3 linked regions of the Caenorhabditis elegans genome follow. The protein of the gene in region 1 purifies or fractionates together with the protein of each later gene. This does not show direct contact. Each region holds a gene or a part of one and is shown on either strand. Other genes may lie near its edges.

The links. Proteins that work in one complex are often made in the same cells at the same time.
Region 2: the proteins of dpy-19 (region 1) and cdc-48.3 fractionate together in Caenorhabditis elegans (co-fractionation; one large-scale study listed by BioGRID). This does not show direct contact.
Region 3: the proteins of dpy-19 (region 1) and rbc-2 fractionate together in Caenorhabditis elegans (co-fractionation; one large-scale study listed by BioGRID). This does not show direct contact.

Annotation. Positions count from the first base shown.
Region 1 is NC_003281.10:8,664,430-8,669,094, forward strand, and holds the start of dpy-19 (C-mannosyltransferase dpy-19), read right to left. Parts: upstream 3,054-4,665; 5' UTR 3,047-3,053; coding exon 2,944-3,046; intron 2,937-2,943; exon of another isoform or gene 2,452-2,936; coding exon of another isoform or gene 2,368-2,451; intron 2,252-2,367; coding exon of another isoform or gene 2,158-2,251; intron 2,117-2,157; coding exon of another isoform or gene 2,010-2,116; intron 1,952-2,009; coding exon of another isoform or gene 1,732-1,951; intron 1,687-1,731; coding exon of another isoform or gene 1,583-1,686; intron 1,468-1,582; coding exon of another isoform or gene 1,132-1,467; intron 1,034-1,131; coding exon of another isoform or gene 917-1,033; exon of another isoform or gene 909-916; intron 1-908. Other genes in the region: F22B7.1 (uncharacterized protein), read left to right, coding at 917-1,033, 1,132-1,467, 1,583-1,686, 1,732-1,951, 2,010-2,116, 2,158-2,251, 2,368-2,451. UniProt on the Caenorhabditis elegans protein: C-mannosyltransferase that mediates C-mannosylation of tryptophan residues on target proteins such as unc-5 and mig-21. Mediates the attachment of alpha-mannose in C-C linkage to the C2 of the indole ring of tryptophan.
Region 2 is NC_003279.8:8,032,361-8,037,276, forward strand, and holds cdc-48.3 (ATPase family protein 2 homolog), read right to left. Parts: upstream 3,337-4,916; coding exon 3,121-3,336; intron 2,953-3,120; coding exon 2,128-2,952; intron 1,975-2,127; coding exon 1,167-1,974; intron 967-1,166; coding exon 727-966; intron 684-726; coding exon 598-683; 3' UTR 503-597; downstream 1-502. Other genes in the region: K04G2.4 (SHSP domain-containing protein), read left to right, coding at 3,609-3,724, 3,775-3,917, 3,975-4,059, 4,236-4,456, 4,504-4,579, 4,629-4,752; ath-1 (palmitoyl-protein hydrolase), read right to left, coding at 4,824-4,871. UniProt on the Caenorhabditis elegans protein: ATP-dependent chaperone which uses the energy provided by ATP hydrolysis to generate mechanical force to disassemble protein complexes.
Region 3 is NC_003281.10:2,525,688-2,530,439, reverse strand, and holds the start of rbc-2 (WD_REPEATS_REGION domain-containing protein), read left to right. Parts: upstream 1-1,750; 5' UTR 1,751-1,760; coding exon of another isoform or gene 1,761-1,790; 5' UTR 1,791-1,811; coding exon 1,812-1,944; intron 1,945-2,006; coding exon 2,007-2,130; intron 2,131-2,180; coding exon 2,181-2,292; intron 2,293-2,349; coding exon 2,350-2,559; intron 2,560-3,772; coding exon 3,773-4,074; intron 4,075-4,752. Other genes in the region: ndua-8 (NADH dehydrogenase [ubiquinone] 1 alpha subcomplex subunit 8), read right to left, coding at 87-211, 783-901, 1,011-1,186, 1,233-1,364.

The DNA of each region.
Region 1 (4,665 bases):
GATTTAGATGATAGAAGCGTTCAGTCTAGGAATCATTTCAAGTCAATATCACTAATTATCTCATTTATTTTTGTTCCTTTGATTTATTCGTTTTGGTAGGGCCGTTTCATCTTAAAGCGTATATTCAAAACAATTAAAAAATCGTTTTTGAAGTCTTCCAAGTAAAAATAAATATCTGCTTTGTGCCTATATTGCGCACCTATCATTTAATTTCTTAAATGGGGCGTAGCAATTTTGGACTTCTGCTTCAATATCTTCAAAATGATCCCAATAGACCGAATTTCATAATGTGACTCCTCGAAAATTTCTTATGAAGATACAACATTTTAACACTGTTTTCTTTCATAGTGTCCAACGCCTGCCTTTTTCCTACACTAGTTTTTTTTTCAATATCCTTGCAAGTGCACCTGCAAGAAAAGTTTAACAAAAGTTCTTAAACTTAAAAAAGTAGGTGGTAGGCAGGCACGTAGGTGCGCAGGTATGTAGCCAATAGATTCTCAAAATATAATTATAAAAACTCTGCATTTCTTTTTATTCATCCTAAAAGCGCATTCTACTCAAAACCCAGTCACATGCTCTATTCACAAAAGTCAATTTTTTTTCATCTGCTCTCCGCATAAACTCTTGCTTCCAATTTCCAGATGCATTTAATGTCACGTGCGTTCACTTTTTTCCCTTCAAGCTTCCAGAACAAAAAAGTCTTGTGATGTTTCGCTCAGAAATTTGTTTGAATAGATGATAATTGGATTTCGGTTGAATTATTTTTGCCATCGCATGTCCTTTCTTCAATTCTCAATTTCCAGTTTTCGTGTGATTCTCCAAAAGTTTCAAACATCATCCGAATTTTCTTGTTTTTCTATTATGTCACTGATTTCCTATTTATTTTTCATATTTTTAAAGTTTTTTTTAAGGGAAAATGAAAACGCCTGCAATTTTATTACTCCTATTCTTATTTATGATGAGTTTGGCACAAAGTGATGAGGAACAAAGTGGAAAGGAACCTCCCGAAAAAGATGATGTTCTAGTTATTCTGGTTGGTTTTTGCCAATGTTACCATGTCAGAAATGCATGCATGCCTACTTTCGGCACATCTTCGTTTTCTTTTCCCGTATTCTATGTTTTAATTTTCAGGCAGAAGACAATTCGACACTATTAAACAATAACCAAACAATGTATGACCCTTCTTCCGAAGAAAAAGAAAGTGACAAACCAAAATTCAATTTATTGGAGACATATTTACCACTTTTCATATTTGTACTCGATCTACCAACAGAGGATAGAGAAACTTTGAAAGCCTATGTAAAAGATAAAACTTATGAAAAACTGAAATATGTAATCGATTCAAAAGTTAAAATGAATCGAAATGAGAAAAATGTCTTAGGAAGAATCAATGAATCCTTGGTACAATCAATCGATAATTTGGAACATTTTGATGAGATTACTGTAGATGTGGTGAATGGTTATCACGTAAGTTTGACATTTCAATGGAAAATCATCTCTCTTTAATCTTTAAAATGTTTTATTTTCAAAAAAAACCTTAATATGACAATACCAAATTTTCCTTCTATAACTAAATTTCTAGAATGCCTCCGTATACAACGCAATCCGTTCAGTTTGGTTGAAACAATTACGTCCATTTCTGCCGCTAATTGATCAAATGGCCATTCAGCAGTATTTTGCACAAAGGTTTCAAACATCAAGCGTCTATCAAAAACTATGTTTATTTTCCAGAAAATCTTCTGAAACTGAGAAAATGTCAATTTGGGCAAGATTATGGGAAAATCTGAGTGTTTGGATGTATGGAAAGAAAAAATTAAACGAATGTTATGCAATGGAGCCAAAATGTGTTCGACACGCATTGGAATTGCTTAATTTTGAACAAAGGATTGATTTGGATTTAGCTGCTTATGAGAACAAGTTTGACAGTGTTGATGGAATTATTAGGGAAAGAGTGAGTCAATTTAGATATTTAAAAAATGTCAAAAGCCCCAAAACGAATTAATTTTCAGCTTGGCGAAAATCGGAAAAGCAGTGAACTCGACGAATGGTTGCACAGAAATCGCCCACCAAAAGCGCTACAAGCTATTTTAGATGAGCGAAGTGACATTGAGGAGGAGTAAGATATTTATATTGAATAGATAAACGTTAGATTTTTAGAGCTCTTCAACGCCTTCGAGATAACGGAGTTCTGAGCTCACTCAAACATTATTACAAAGCAGTTATAGAGTCAAGAAGTCATGAAGAGCAAGAGGTAACCAATGTTTTAGATAGTTCTTGTCAATTTTCTTACGCATTTTTCGATATTCTGCTAATGGGTGCAAAGTTCTAAATTGTTTTTAATTGTAGCTTTCTATATTAAACTTTCAGGACATTCGTCATTTCTTCGACATAATGAATGACACATTTGCTCGTTGCTTTGACCCACTACGAGGCCAGTATCATGATTTCTAGAAAAACCCTCTTTTTGACTTCTTCCTCCATTTGTTTTCAGTCTCATTTAAAGTTGGAGTGGCATCGGAATATTTTTTTTGACTATTCATATGGTGCGTAGAAACATTTTTTTCCAATTTTTTTCGAAATTCGTTGTCGGAAGCTGGGAATTCTCAGCTTTTGTGAACAATACTTTTGGTATTTGGAAATTGGTTTTTTAAAAAGTGTTTCATAACAGTACATTATTTGGTTGGAAAACCTAAATATTCCAAAGACATGCCAATTTACCGAATCTAAACATTTCAAAAAGTTTATTATGATATTTTGCCACGTAAACTTTTATGAATATTAAAAAAAAATCCCCCACTGACGCTGCTCCAGCTTTAAAATCTCAAACTCTTGCCACTTTGAATGCATATTTGTTCCCTCTTCCTCTCATTCTATTGTTACGTGTATTTTGAATTTAATTTCCTGTTTCATGTTTTTAGTTTGAATAAAACATTGTTCACTCACCTATAATTACAACGGAAGCAAGCCAAGTTTGCGAATATAATGAGGAAGAAGTATCAGAAGAATATTTTGATTTTTCAGGCGAATTCTTGGGTTTCTTTGCCATTTTTTGTCTGGAATTACAACAGCGTAAGAATTGAGAAAACAATTAACGAAAAAAAAAAATACTAAATCCGTTCTGATTAGTTAACAGCACAGAAAAATGTCAAGGAGAGGTTTTAGAGAGAGAAAGAGAGGGAGAAAAAGTGTGAAAAAAAATTAGTGAGGACTGAAAATATGTTATTTCTCTAGAATAGAGATTAGAGTTGAGAAAATATATGAGAAATAGAAGGAAAACATAGAAACTAGCAAAAAGGATAGGGGTGGGAAAATATTAAATTTTTCATTTACCTAAAATTTGATATTAAAATTGCGATAAAGTAGGTAAGGGAAGCGTGTCTTGTAGGCAGGTATTCTGTAGGTAAAAAATTCTTACCTGATTTTTGAGGTATTTATACCTATGCCTACTGCCAAAAAGTTTTTTTTTCAAACTTAAAAAAGAACTATCAAATGAATTGAAAAGGCAAACACCAAACACCAAAGTAAAAAATGCAAAAATGGGTGATTGGTGAGTAGGCAGGCATGTCAAGAGAAAAATAAAAAGTAGGTAGAACATAATTGAACTATGTATAATCTACTAGAATATTAAATAAAACGTTGAACTTTTCAATTTGCTAGCTGAAAATAATTTAAGTTGACTTTGAAGGCTTTGCACTTTTGGTAAAGCAATTTCAAATAGTGGGAATTAGTTTTTAAACATGAAAAAAGGAGATTATGAAGACAGACAGACTATGTTTATTGAGAAAAAAACCATAAAAGCTATACGATTTTCCATCGAGGCGTTTCACCAAGAGACTTCGATTTTTTTGCCCATTTTTCAAAAGAAAAATACTCAATTTACATGAAAATAAACACAGCTTGAGATACCTCTTTCCCAACGAAAAAAAAGGAAATTCAATTGTTCGAACCCGACGCTTTTTCTTTTTTCAGAGATTTTTGTTTAGAGAGAATGAAGTCACGGACAATTTGAAATTTTAGAGGGAATCTATTAGGGAATTAGCAAATAGTATGAACAAATATAATTAGAAAGGGGAAACTTGCAGGGTTTTGCAAAATTAAAAATTGTAGATTTTTACACTTCGAACAAATCCGGAACAGTTTAACAGTTTAAAAAAATGTATTTAAAACAAGTTAAGTTATTTCTTTAAAAAATTTCGAGAAATGTTTCAAGATTTATATATTTATGATTTGTTTCAAAAATATCCAAGAGTTCAGGGAAAAGCCAGAAAAATGACTCAACAAATCAGCAAACAGTACAAGCAAATACAACGAGCATTTAAAATATTTTGGAAGTGAAAACTAAAATTTCAAAAAAATATGGGAACACAACATGATAGTTTGAGTAAAACATTAACCGAATCCTCTTCCTCTACACATTGAATCCAATCCATTTGACAGGCGGTCAGACAGGTAGCCAGTTAGATAGTACTAGGGTTTACAGAGACGCAGACATACCGATAGAGAGTAATACACAATAGATCTGTCCTCTTCTTGTAGTAAAGAAGGAGGAGATAGAATTGAATGAAACAACACTTATTTATGCTTTATTCTTCTATTGAGATATTTTTAGAGAGTTTTGAGTGCTTCAAGTAATTTCAAAAAATTAGGTTTAATGATGGAGAAGCG
Region 2 (4,916 bases), on another chromosome or scaffold:
CAAACTTATCTCATCTCCCCCGGTTAATTTAACCGCGTAAGCTTCACCTCAATCATAACTTTCCATATTCCAAATATTATATGTCTACTAACTTTCCCCTACCCAATTCGCGTGTTTTGTACGTGTAACAAAATATTTTGTATTCTAACGCAATTTATGATCATCACTCAGCCTATTGGGATTAATGATGTTCATGAAAATGCGGAGAGTACTGTATTTCTCGTCTGTTACCCAAATTCCACACACAAGTTCATCTGCTCCGACGGGACTTTAAATTTTTCTTGTTTAAGCATAATTCCATTTTTCTAGTGTACCCAAAAAATCCCTTCATCCCAAACTTTATCTTTAATTACTGCTCACTTTTAAATTTGTTGTCGTTTTTTTTCTCAAAAACTTTATCTGTAATATGCTTTCATCCAACGAATCAAAACGTTTTGCTAATTTCTCCTATCAAATTGAATTCCATTCTTGTGCAGCTCTAAACTTCGAATCACAATTTGTTCAAAAATAAAATTTGTTTCATTTTTCAACAATCAAAGAAATTCAAAATTCAAGAACAAATCAATTTAACAATAACAATCAGGTAAACAGTTATTTTCATGCGTTCGAAGCTCGACCTGCTTTAAAATCGTCATAAATTTCAAGAAGATACGCTTCAGTTCGGGAAACAACTGCGGCAAGAGCTGAAAATATTTAGTTAATGAATAATTTAATAATATTAATTACCTTGTTCAAAATGCGTCCATTGCACGATTGTAGCATCAATGCTTTCACGCATTGCAAACATTGCAGCAGTTCTACAGACAGCAACAAGTTCTGCACCGGAATATCCTGATGTTTTTTCCACTAGTTTATCAATTGTTCTAACTGTATCATCGAATTTCATTTTTTTAGTTCGCATTTCGAGAATGGCTCTTCGTGTCACTTCACATGGTAATCCGACATAAATAGCACGATCCAGGCGACCTGAAATACAAAAAAAAATATTATTACTCGAACGGGCATTTTTTCCCCAAAACTACAGTAGTAGGTTTCAACACGACAATTTTCTATTAGATACAACCAGGAGTACTGTACTTTCAAATTTTCAGTCGTGCAGTATTTACATCAATTTTTCATAGTTTTGTGTTAAAAAAATATATTTTTTAAACAGACAACCTACTTACCAGGTCTTAAAAGTGCACTATCCAATTGATCAGGCCGATTAGTTGCCGCCAATAATATAACTCTACTTGACTTTTCCAAACCATCTAACTCAGTGAGCAATTGTGCCAAAACTCGATCCGAAACTCCAGAACTTTTTTCCGAACCTCTTGAAGAACCAACTGCATCGATTTCATCAAAGAATACAATAGTTGGAGCAACTTGTCTTGCTCTTGAAAATAAATCTCGAATTGCTTTTTCAGAGTCTCCAACCCATTTACTGAAAAGCTCCGGTCCCTTGACAGCGAGGAAATTCATTTTTGCTTCACTAGCCAGTGCACGTGCTATTAAAGTTTTACTACATCCGGGTGGTCCGTAAAGAAGAATTCCAGCTGGTGGATCAATTCCAAATCTTTCAAAAGCTTCTGGATGTTTTTGAGGCCAAATAACAGCTTGTTGAATTTCTAACTTTAATTCTTCATTTCCTCCAATATCATTCCAAGAAACATTAGGTACTTCTAGAATAAATTGACGAATTCCAGTTGGTCTGATTCGTTTTCTTGCGTCATTTACTCGTTCCAAATGTGTTCTTCCTCTTGCAAATTTCGCCGCTTTCAGTAATGAGCATAAATCTCCGCCAGTGAATCCATGAGTGTGCCGAGCAACATCAAGATGAAGTTCCAATGGGAAATTGTAGATGTTGCCAATTTTCGAAAGAATGTCGAGTCTCTCGTCTTGTGTTGGAACAGTGATTTCTGCTTCAATCGGGAATCTCACACGGAATCCAATGTCAAGAGTTTCGGAAGATCGAACACAAAGAATCACGCATTTCTGTAAAATATTGAATTGTAAAGTTAGAAAAAGGAAATCTATCTATTATAGGGACTCAGAAAAACACATTTAAATTGTCCGTACAGCGCACACGATTTCAAAATGGGCATTTTTCTGTGTCCCTACAATAATATAAAAAATCATTGTTCTTACCTTTTCGTCGCCCAACAAAAAGCTCAATGCTCGATTTGCTTTCGTATTTTCTTTTTCTAGTTCATTAACATCTACAATTACAATGTTTCCAGTTGTTACTCCATTCAATTCCATCAATTCTTCACAGCTACCAATGTAGGTTGTTGATCCAGAAAGAACTAACGCAACTTCTTTCAAAAGAAGTGTCTTTCCACTTCCAGGAAGTCCCCAGATCAAAACTGAACACGGTGACTCTTTTTGACGAACTGGACTGATAACATAATCTTCGAGAACTTGTTTGGCGGTGAAACATCCACCAATATTTGATAAGTCAGTTGGAAGAGTTTGAAGAACATCTGAAGTCGATCCTTCTGCAGAAGCATTCAAAATTTGAATTTTGTAGCCAACAGCTGTAGATACTACTTTCGAATTTCTTTTCTTGTCGTCATCTATTCCCATGGCGCTCATCTTGCTCTCGATTGGTTCTTCTGGGGTTACTGTAACATTTTGACCCAAATATTTCAGATCAACACTGGAATTGTATTGCAGATACGAGTGACTGAGATATGCTTCTAAGAATCCACTGAGAGCCGGATTTAAAGTCAAGGATGTCTTGACTGTGACACTCAGACTTTTGAGTTTTTCAACTCTTCCACAAGACTCCAATGTGATCATTCGTTCCCGTGCAATTCTAGAAGATATTATGGATACTTTGAGAAGTGCAACTTCTTTGCAAGGCCATACTATTCCAATAAAAGAATCAGAAGAATGAATAATTCGAACTGGTTGCCGAGCAAGTAGACCTAGACTTTCCATTGTTTGTTGATTGATTAGAATTGAGTGTTCCTAGAAAAAATGAAGTGGGTCAAAGAATATATGCGATTTTTTTTCATTTTTGCAGCAAAAAATTCAAAAAACTGAAGAGTGATTTTTAGAATTTTAGAAAAACTTACATATGTAAATTTTTACAGCTATATTCGGATTTTTTAAAGTTGTTTTTTGTAAAAATCGAACCTTTTCCCATCCAACAGCGTCTGGGGGTAAAAAACCTTCTGCTTTGTCCACTGCCACATTAAATCCACGTAGCGTTCCGTTTTGAGCGCACGCAATTTCAGATTCTACGACGGGCTTTCCACAGAAGTCTTGATGTCTTAAAGAATCTTTGGTAAGAACAACAGCATTACACTGGGGGCATGTCACGAGACTTGGTTTTTTCTTTGCACTTGACATCTGAAAATAGGAGTTATAGTTTTGGAAATTGCATGCAAACGAAAGCAAAAGAATATAATTTTTTTTTAATTAACGAAGCAAGTAAGTAAGTTCGTGAACCTAAGATTTGTAGTTCAGATAAACTGTGACAGAAACATGTTTCGCGAAGATTCTTTCTTCGAATAAAAAACTTTAGATAAAAAAAGATTCATTTCTGATTTTACTCATATATTCTTCCGCCGACAAAATACCAGGAAATCGTATCGTGTGCAATAAGAGAGAAAGATTCAAGAATGGGCTGTAGTCATAGTAAAAACAAAAACTCAAAGTCCAAATCAGCGATACTGAAGAAAGAGCATCCATTGGAACGATCGATTCATCACAATCGAGTTGCACATTTCGACGAAACGTGAGTTAACTTTTTAATATATTCAGATTATCAATTATTCTATGATTCAGTCAGCCAACAAGTCAATCGACAAGTGTTGAATCAGAAGAACTAAATGTGAAGCATTACTCGAAAACTTTGCTCAACGATACTGTGGAGCCAACTCATCAGAAGACTAGTGCACACGTTCCAGAGAAAAGTATCAAGAAGCAAGGTAAACGGCTTTTGTTGAATGAACAAAGCATCTTATGAAAGTTTTTTTTTATTTCAGAAGTCAAGCAAGAAGTCAAAAAGCATGAAACAACCACAGTCGTTCACACGAATGTACATGTGCCAAAACCTACTCATAAGCTACCGTAATTTTTCATAAATTTGAAGGCGTATTGGATGTTATTTGGATGCAATATTTTGTGATTTTCGCGAGAAAATTATAGTACAGTACCGTAGTTTTCGGGCAGAATAAAAATTTTGCATCTGAATAATATCTTATCGAAACATCCGAACTAACAAAATAATTATTTGAATATTTCAGACAAGCATCTGAAATTCCTATTGAAAGAATGGGATCAGATCCTCATACAGCTATTGCACCTACTTACCAACAAAAACAGTTCGCCACATCTACTTACTACCCAATGCCCACAATTGGAGAAAAACAAAAATCACCAGAAAAAGCAAAACCGGCAAGAAAAGTTGATAATACTGATGAAAAGAAGAGAAAGAAAGATCAGAATGAAAAGCCAGTTATCAATGGTGAGATAATAAATTAATAATAGAAATAAGAATTGGAATCCATTCAGGACCAAATGTTCGTCATCAATTGACTCCAGAAGATTTGGAGTATATCAAACGATCGGTTCAACAAAGAAACGAACGGTATATATTGCAAATAATTTATGACATGAAATAATGAACACATTTACAGACGTGCGTTTATGATGGCTCATCGAAATGAAACAGACGACACGTTGTATGAGCTTGAAGTACGAATGCCGGAAAAGGACTACACAAATCGAATGGAGGTTGGACAGAACTATCGTGTCTGTTGAAAATTGAGAGAAATAAAGTGTGTCTGGTGAAAAAAACTTTAAAAAAATCGTTTTTGGAATGAATTGAATATTTAGTGGGCAATGTGGGCGCTCAAGAAGGTCTTCACATCACGCATCTCCTGAAAATACATTAATATGATTAATATAATTTTGATTATGCATAA
Region 3 (4,752 bases), 6.1 Mb from region 1:
ACAAGAAAAAAATAGGAGAATTTGGAGAGAACTCTACGGGAAAACGAAGGGTATTTGCAGAAAAACGGCCAATTTTTCAGAGAAATCTAGCTTTCAGTAATATTGTAGCGCCAGTCGTTGTATTTACGGTAGTCTTTGCGAAGATGATAGTCGGCTGGAAGCTCATTGAGCACTTTAGCTGCTTCTGCCTTGTAGTCACGGAGCTTCACCTCTGAAATTGGGGAAAATTGAATTTGCCGCGAAAAATGGGATTTTAAATGAGTTTTTAGTGAGATTTTCGTGAAATTCAGGTGGGAATGATGCCTAAAACTGAAAAAATTGATTTTTTTGACTTGAAATTCGGATTTTTTCCGCAAAATCTATCAAAATTTAACTTAAAATACAATATTTTTTGGATAGAAATTTGAATTTGTCGCTAAAAAATGTCTGAAATTAAGGTTTAAATAGTGATATTTTGGCTCGAAATTTGAAATTATTCCGAAAAATACAAATTTTACCAGTTTTACAAGGCTTTTTTGACTGAAAAAAGGTGAATTTCGTGACTTTTTAGTTTTAAAAAGCTTTAAAATAGTCAAAAAAGCGAAAAATTTAACAAAAAAGTGGTTTTTTTTTCAGGAAAATATGCAAAAACGTTAGAATTTTTCAAGTTTCAGGAGTTTCTGGGAACTTTTCTGAAAAGTTCATACAAAAATTGAGAGAAAAACAGTGGAAGAATTCAGCTAAAATATTGATTTTTTCGCATTTTTAAATTAATTTTATCGTAAATTCTATAATTTCTGTACCTGGAGCCGCGGTGGCCGAGTCATAGACATGAAGTTTGCTGAAGTATCCAAGCTTTGGACGCGTCAAGTTCAAATTAGCTTCCACGCAGGCATCGAGCTCCTTCTGGTCGTCATGGCACCTGAAAATTGAATATTCTACTGCTTTTTCGCTTTTTTTTTCGGAAAAAAATCACGTTAAAATTTTTTAACGGTTTATTTTCGATGAAATTTCATTTTTGGAAAGCTCACTTTGACATGTAAAGCTTGGCACTGCTCTGATCAACACATTCGGCGAGCTTCTGAGTCTGTGGAAGGCAGGAACGCTTCAAAGATTGAAGAAAATTGACTCCACACGCGGTCAGCGCGGCTCCCTCCTTCAAAACGGCACGTGGATCCTCGGCTTCCTTTCGTCGAAGCATGAACTCCTGCAAAAAATCTCAATTTTATCGAAAATTTGGCAGAAAAACCAACATTTGCCTCCTTTTCGCAATGTTTTGCCATATAGGGAGCGATGGATTTGAGCCATGGAGTTGATAAAGTGATTTCCTGAGGAACAGTGAGCTCCTCGTCACTTGGAAAATGCGTATCCTTGGTTATACTCATCGGAAAATGTACCCTGAAATTGGAAAATTGGAAACCAAGCGGAAACTGTTACAGAGAGGGAATTCGGTGATGAAATTTATTATTTTCGATGAGAAAAATTTGAAATTTGATTTTTAAACAAAAAAAAACAAAAAAAAATCGATTGAAAATAGTTTATTTTGATTTTAAATGATAAAATAAAAAATAAAATTTGTTTTGCGCAACGGCTGTTTGCCCGTAAATCCACACAAGTTTAAAGGCGCATGCCATGTTGGCTCTCTTCCCTGCGAGACCCGCGGCATCTCATGTCGATTTACGGGCTATCGAACTTTGCCCTTTTCTTGCTCCGATTAAAGTTTTCTAAAAAAAAAGCTTATTTAATTGAAGAAATTCAGATTTCATTTCAGATTAAATATTATGAAATTATTGTGTAAATTTCTGCTGTAAATCTGAAAATCTAGCTGAAAAATGGTGGAAGTCGCGCCAGCCGGCACAAAATCGCCGGCGCTCTCCGTTCCAGTTGTCATTTGGGGCCCGAAACCGCCGGAAAACAAGATTTGCGCAATTCGTGTGCTTCCTGATGGCGCAACAATTATCACAGGTTAATATTCATCGAATTTTCTAAACAATAAAACAAAAAATCTGAAATTTCGAAATTTTCAGGCGCTGAAAATGGCCACATTATTATTTGGAAGCTAGCAGAAGGACTTATGCCAAAGCAGCTAATGATTGGACATTCTCAAAAGATTACAGCAATCTCTCAGACAACAAATACACCGACAAATACGTTAGTAACGCAGGATTTGGAAAAAATCGATAATTTCCGAAAAATTCCAGACGTTTTGTCTCAGCTTCAGCCGACGGACGTGTATGCCTCTGGGAGATTCAAGATGGACGGTGCATTGATTCAACATCTTCTATTGCAATTCACAGATATATTTATCCATACGTAGGCGCTGGAAAATCGATTTTTAGCCGAAAAAACCGAGAATTTTTTTGATTTCAGACGTATAAATCGTCCCGTCACACGAGAGCAACTCGTCTTTTCTGTATTGGAGATTATAGTGATATTCAAGTAATGGATCCACAAGATTTGACAGTTGTATTCTCAATTTCTTCAAGAGTTGAACCGGATTGGATAAGCTGTTTTACAATTATTAGTCATCCGGAAAAGGAGGATCAGTTGATTGGAATGACTCTGAGTGGAATGATGAAGGTGTGGAATTAATGGAAAATCGATTAAAAAGCGAAAAAATTAATTTTTTTCAGCCAAAAATCACCGAAAAACATTAAAAAATATCATATTTTCGCGGAAAAATTGCATTTTTAAATGTTTTAATGTGAAAATACAAATTTTCTAGAAAAAATCTTCAATTTTATGTAGAAATGGAAAAAAAAATCGCGATACCCTGATTCAAGCTTATTTTTGAACGAAATTTGGTGGTTTTGAGCAAAAAATTGTAATTTTTGCCCAAAAATTTGGATTTTAAAAGTTTTTTATTAATAATTTCGATTTTTCAAACTTGTAAAACGACAATTTCCGTGAAATTTTCAAATTTTTTTCACTTAAAAATCACAGTTTTTGGAATTTTTTCTCCAGAAAGCCAATTTTCTACTTAATTTGGAAGATTTTTTGTATAGCCTTTAGATTAAAAAAGCTGATTTTAAAGCTATTTTTAAGAAAAAAAAAATTAATTTTTACGACTTTTGACGTTGATTTTGGTGTAAAAATGTATAAATCTATTGAAAAAATGTCATTTTGGACAGTTTTCGAGTGGAAAATTGAATTTTTGAAGCTTAAAAAAAAATTTTTAACTAAAAAAAACACAATTTCCGTGAGAATTTCAAATTTTCAGTTTATAAGCTCTTTTTATGATGCAAAATATCGATTTTAGGCCGTTTCTTATCAATTTTAATGCAAAAATAGTCATTTTCAAGCTCTAAAACCACATTTTTCCAGTTGAAAAGCTCGAAAAATTGAATTTTTATAGCTATTGCAGTTGATTTTTGTGTAAAACATGTATAAATTCGTCCAAAATATGACATTTTAAACGGTTTTTCGAGTAGAAAATAGAATTTTCGAAGCTTTTTTCCCTGTTAAAAGGCAATTTCCGTGACATTTCTAATGTAAATTTTCAATTTTTGACTGAAAAAAGCGAATTTTTGAACAATTCACACAATGTAAAGTGTTCTTAACGCAAAAATCTCGTTTTTAAATAGATTTTTACTTGTAAAATGACAATTACCATAAGATTTTCACATTTAAATTTTCACATTTAAAAATTCTAATTTTTGGTTTAAAAAGCTATTTTTAATGCTAAAACGGAAAAATTTAAATTTTTCCGAGGTAAAAAATTGATTTTAGATAATTTTAGACCAATTTTAACGCGAAAATAGCCATTTTCAAGCTCTAAAACCCCATTTTCCAGGTGTGGACGCTCACAGAACTGGAGAAAAAGGACCCAGCAACATCTCTATATGAAGATGAATCAAAACGACTAGAAATTCAACATATTCGAAGTGTTTCATATATTTGTTCAACAAGAAGAATGCTTTTAATAATTGCATCGACATGTTGGATGATTATTGATATGGATGATCTTTCAACAGTAGTTTTTCATAAAAATGAAATAACTACGAAACGTTGTGTGGCTGGATATCTTACGGATTTGGATAAAGTTACAATTGGATATACTGATGAATCAATTCATGTATTTCAATTGCCTATCGAGTGAGAAAATTCCGGAAATTTTTATTGGAAAATACCGGAAAAATCGAATTTTTCAGCTAAAAACACATGAAAATCAACAAAAAATCACAAAAACGAATAATTTTCTTTGATAAAATTATCAATAATCTAAAGAAATTTGAAATTTTCCTGGAAAAAGCATACAATTTGCGAAATACCCTAATTTTCTAGCGTGTAATCAAAAAAAATTGACAAAAATCGAAAAATTTTTGTTTAAAAAATTAAGTAGTTTTGCACTATTTCGATAGATTTTCGTATATATAATTATTGATTTAAACAACAAAAAATGAAACAAAAAATCCGCTTTTCCACGAAAAACAGATTATTTGCAGAAAAACTATATCTTTTAATGAAAAATTGACAAAAATTGAGCCAAAATATCCAAAACGCACATTCTGACGAATTTTCTCATAGAAATTGCTTATCGAGTGAAAAATCCCGGGAAAAATCGACTTTTTCGGCAAAAATTGAGTTAAAATCGCTTATTTTCAATTAAAAATATGCAAAAAAAATAATTAAAAAAAAGATAATTGATTTTTTTGGAAAAAATAAAAAATAAATAAATAGCTTAAAATCACGAATTTTTGTTGAAAAAATTTGAACATTTCCCACAAATTTGACATATTTTTGCCTAAAAATTCAAGATTTCAACGCTAAAAA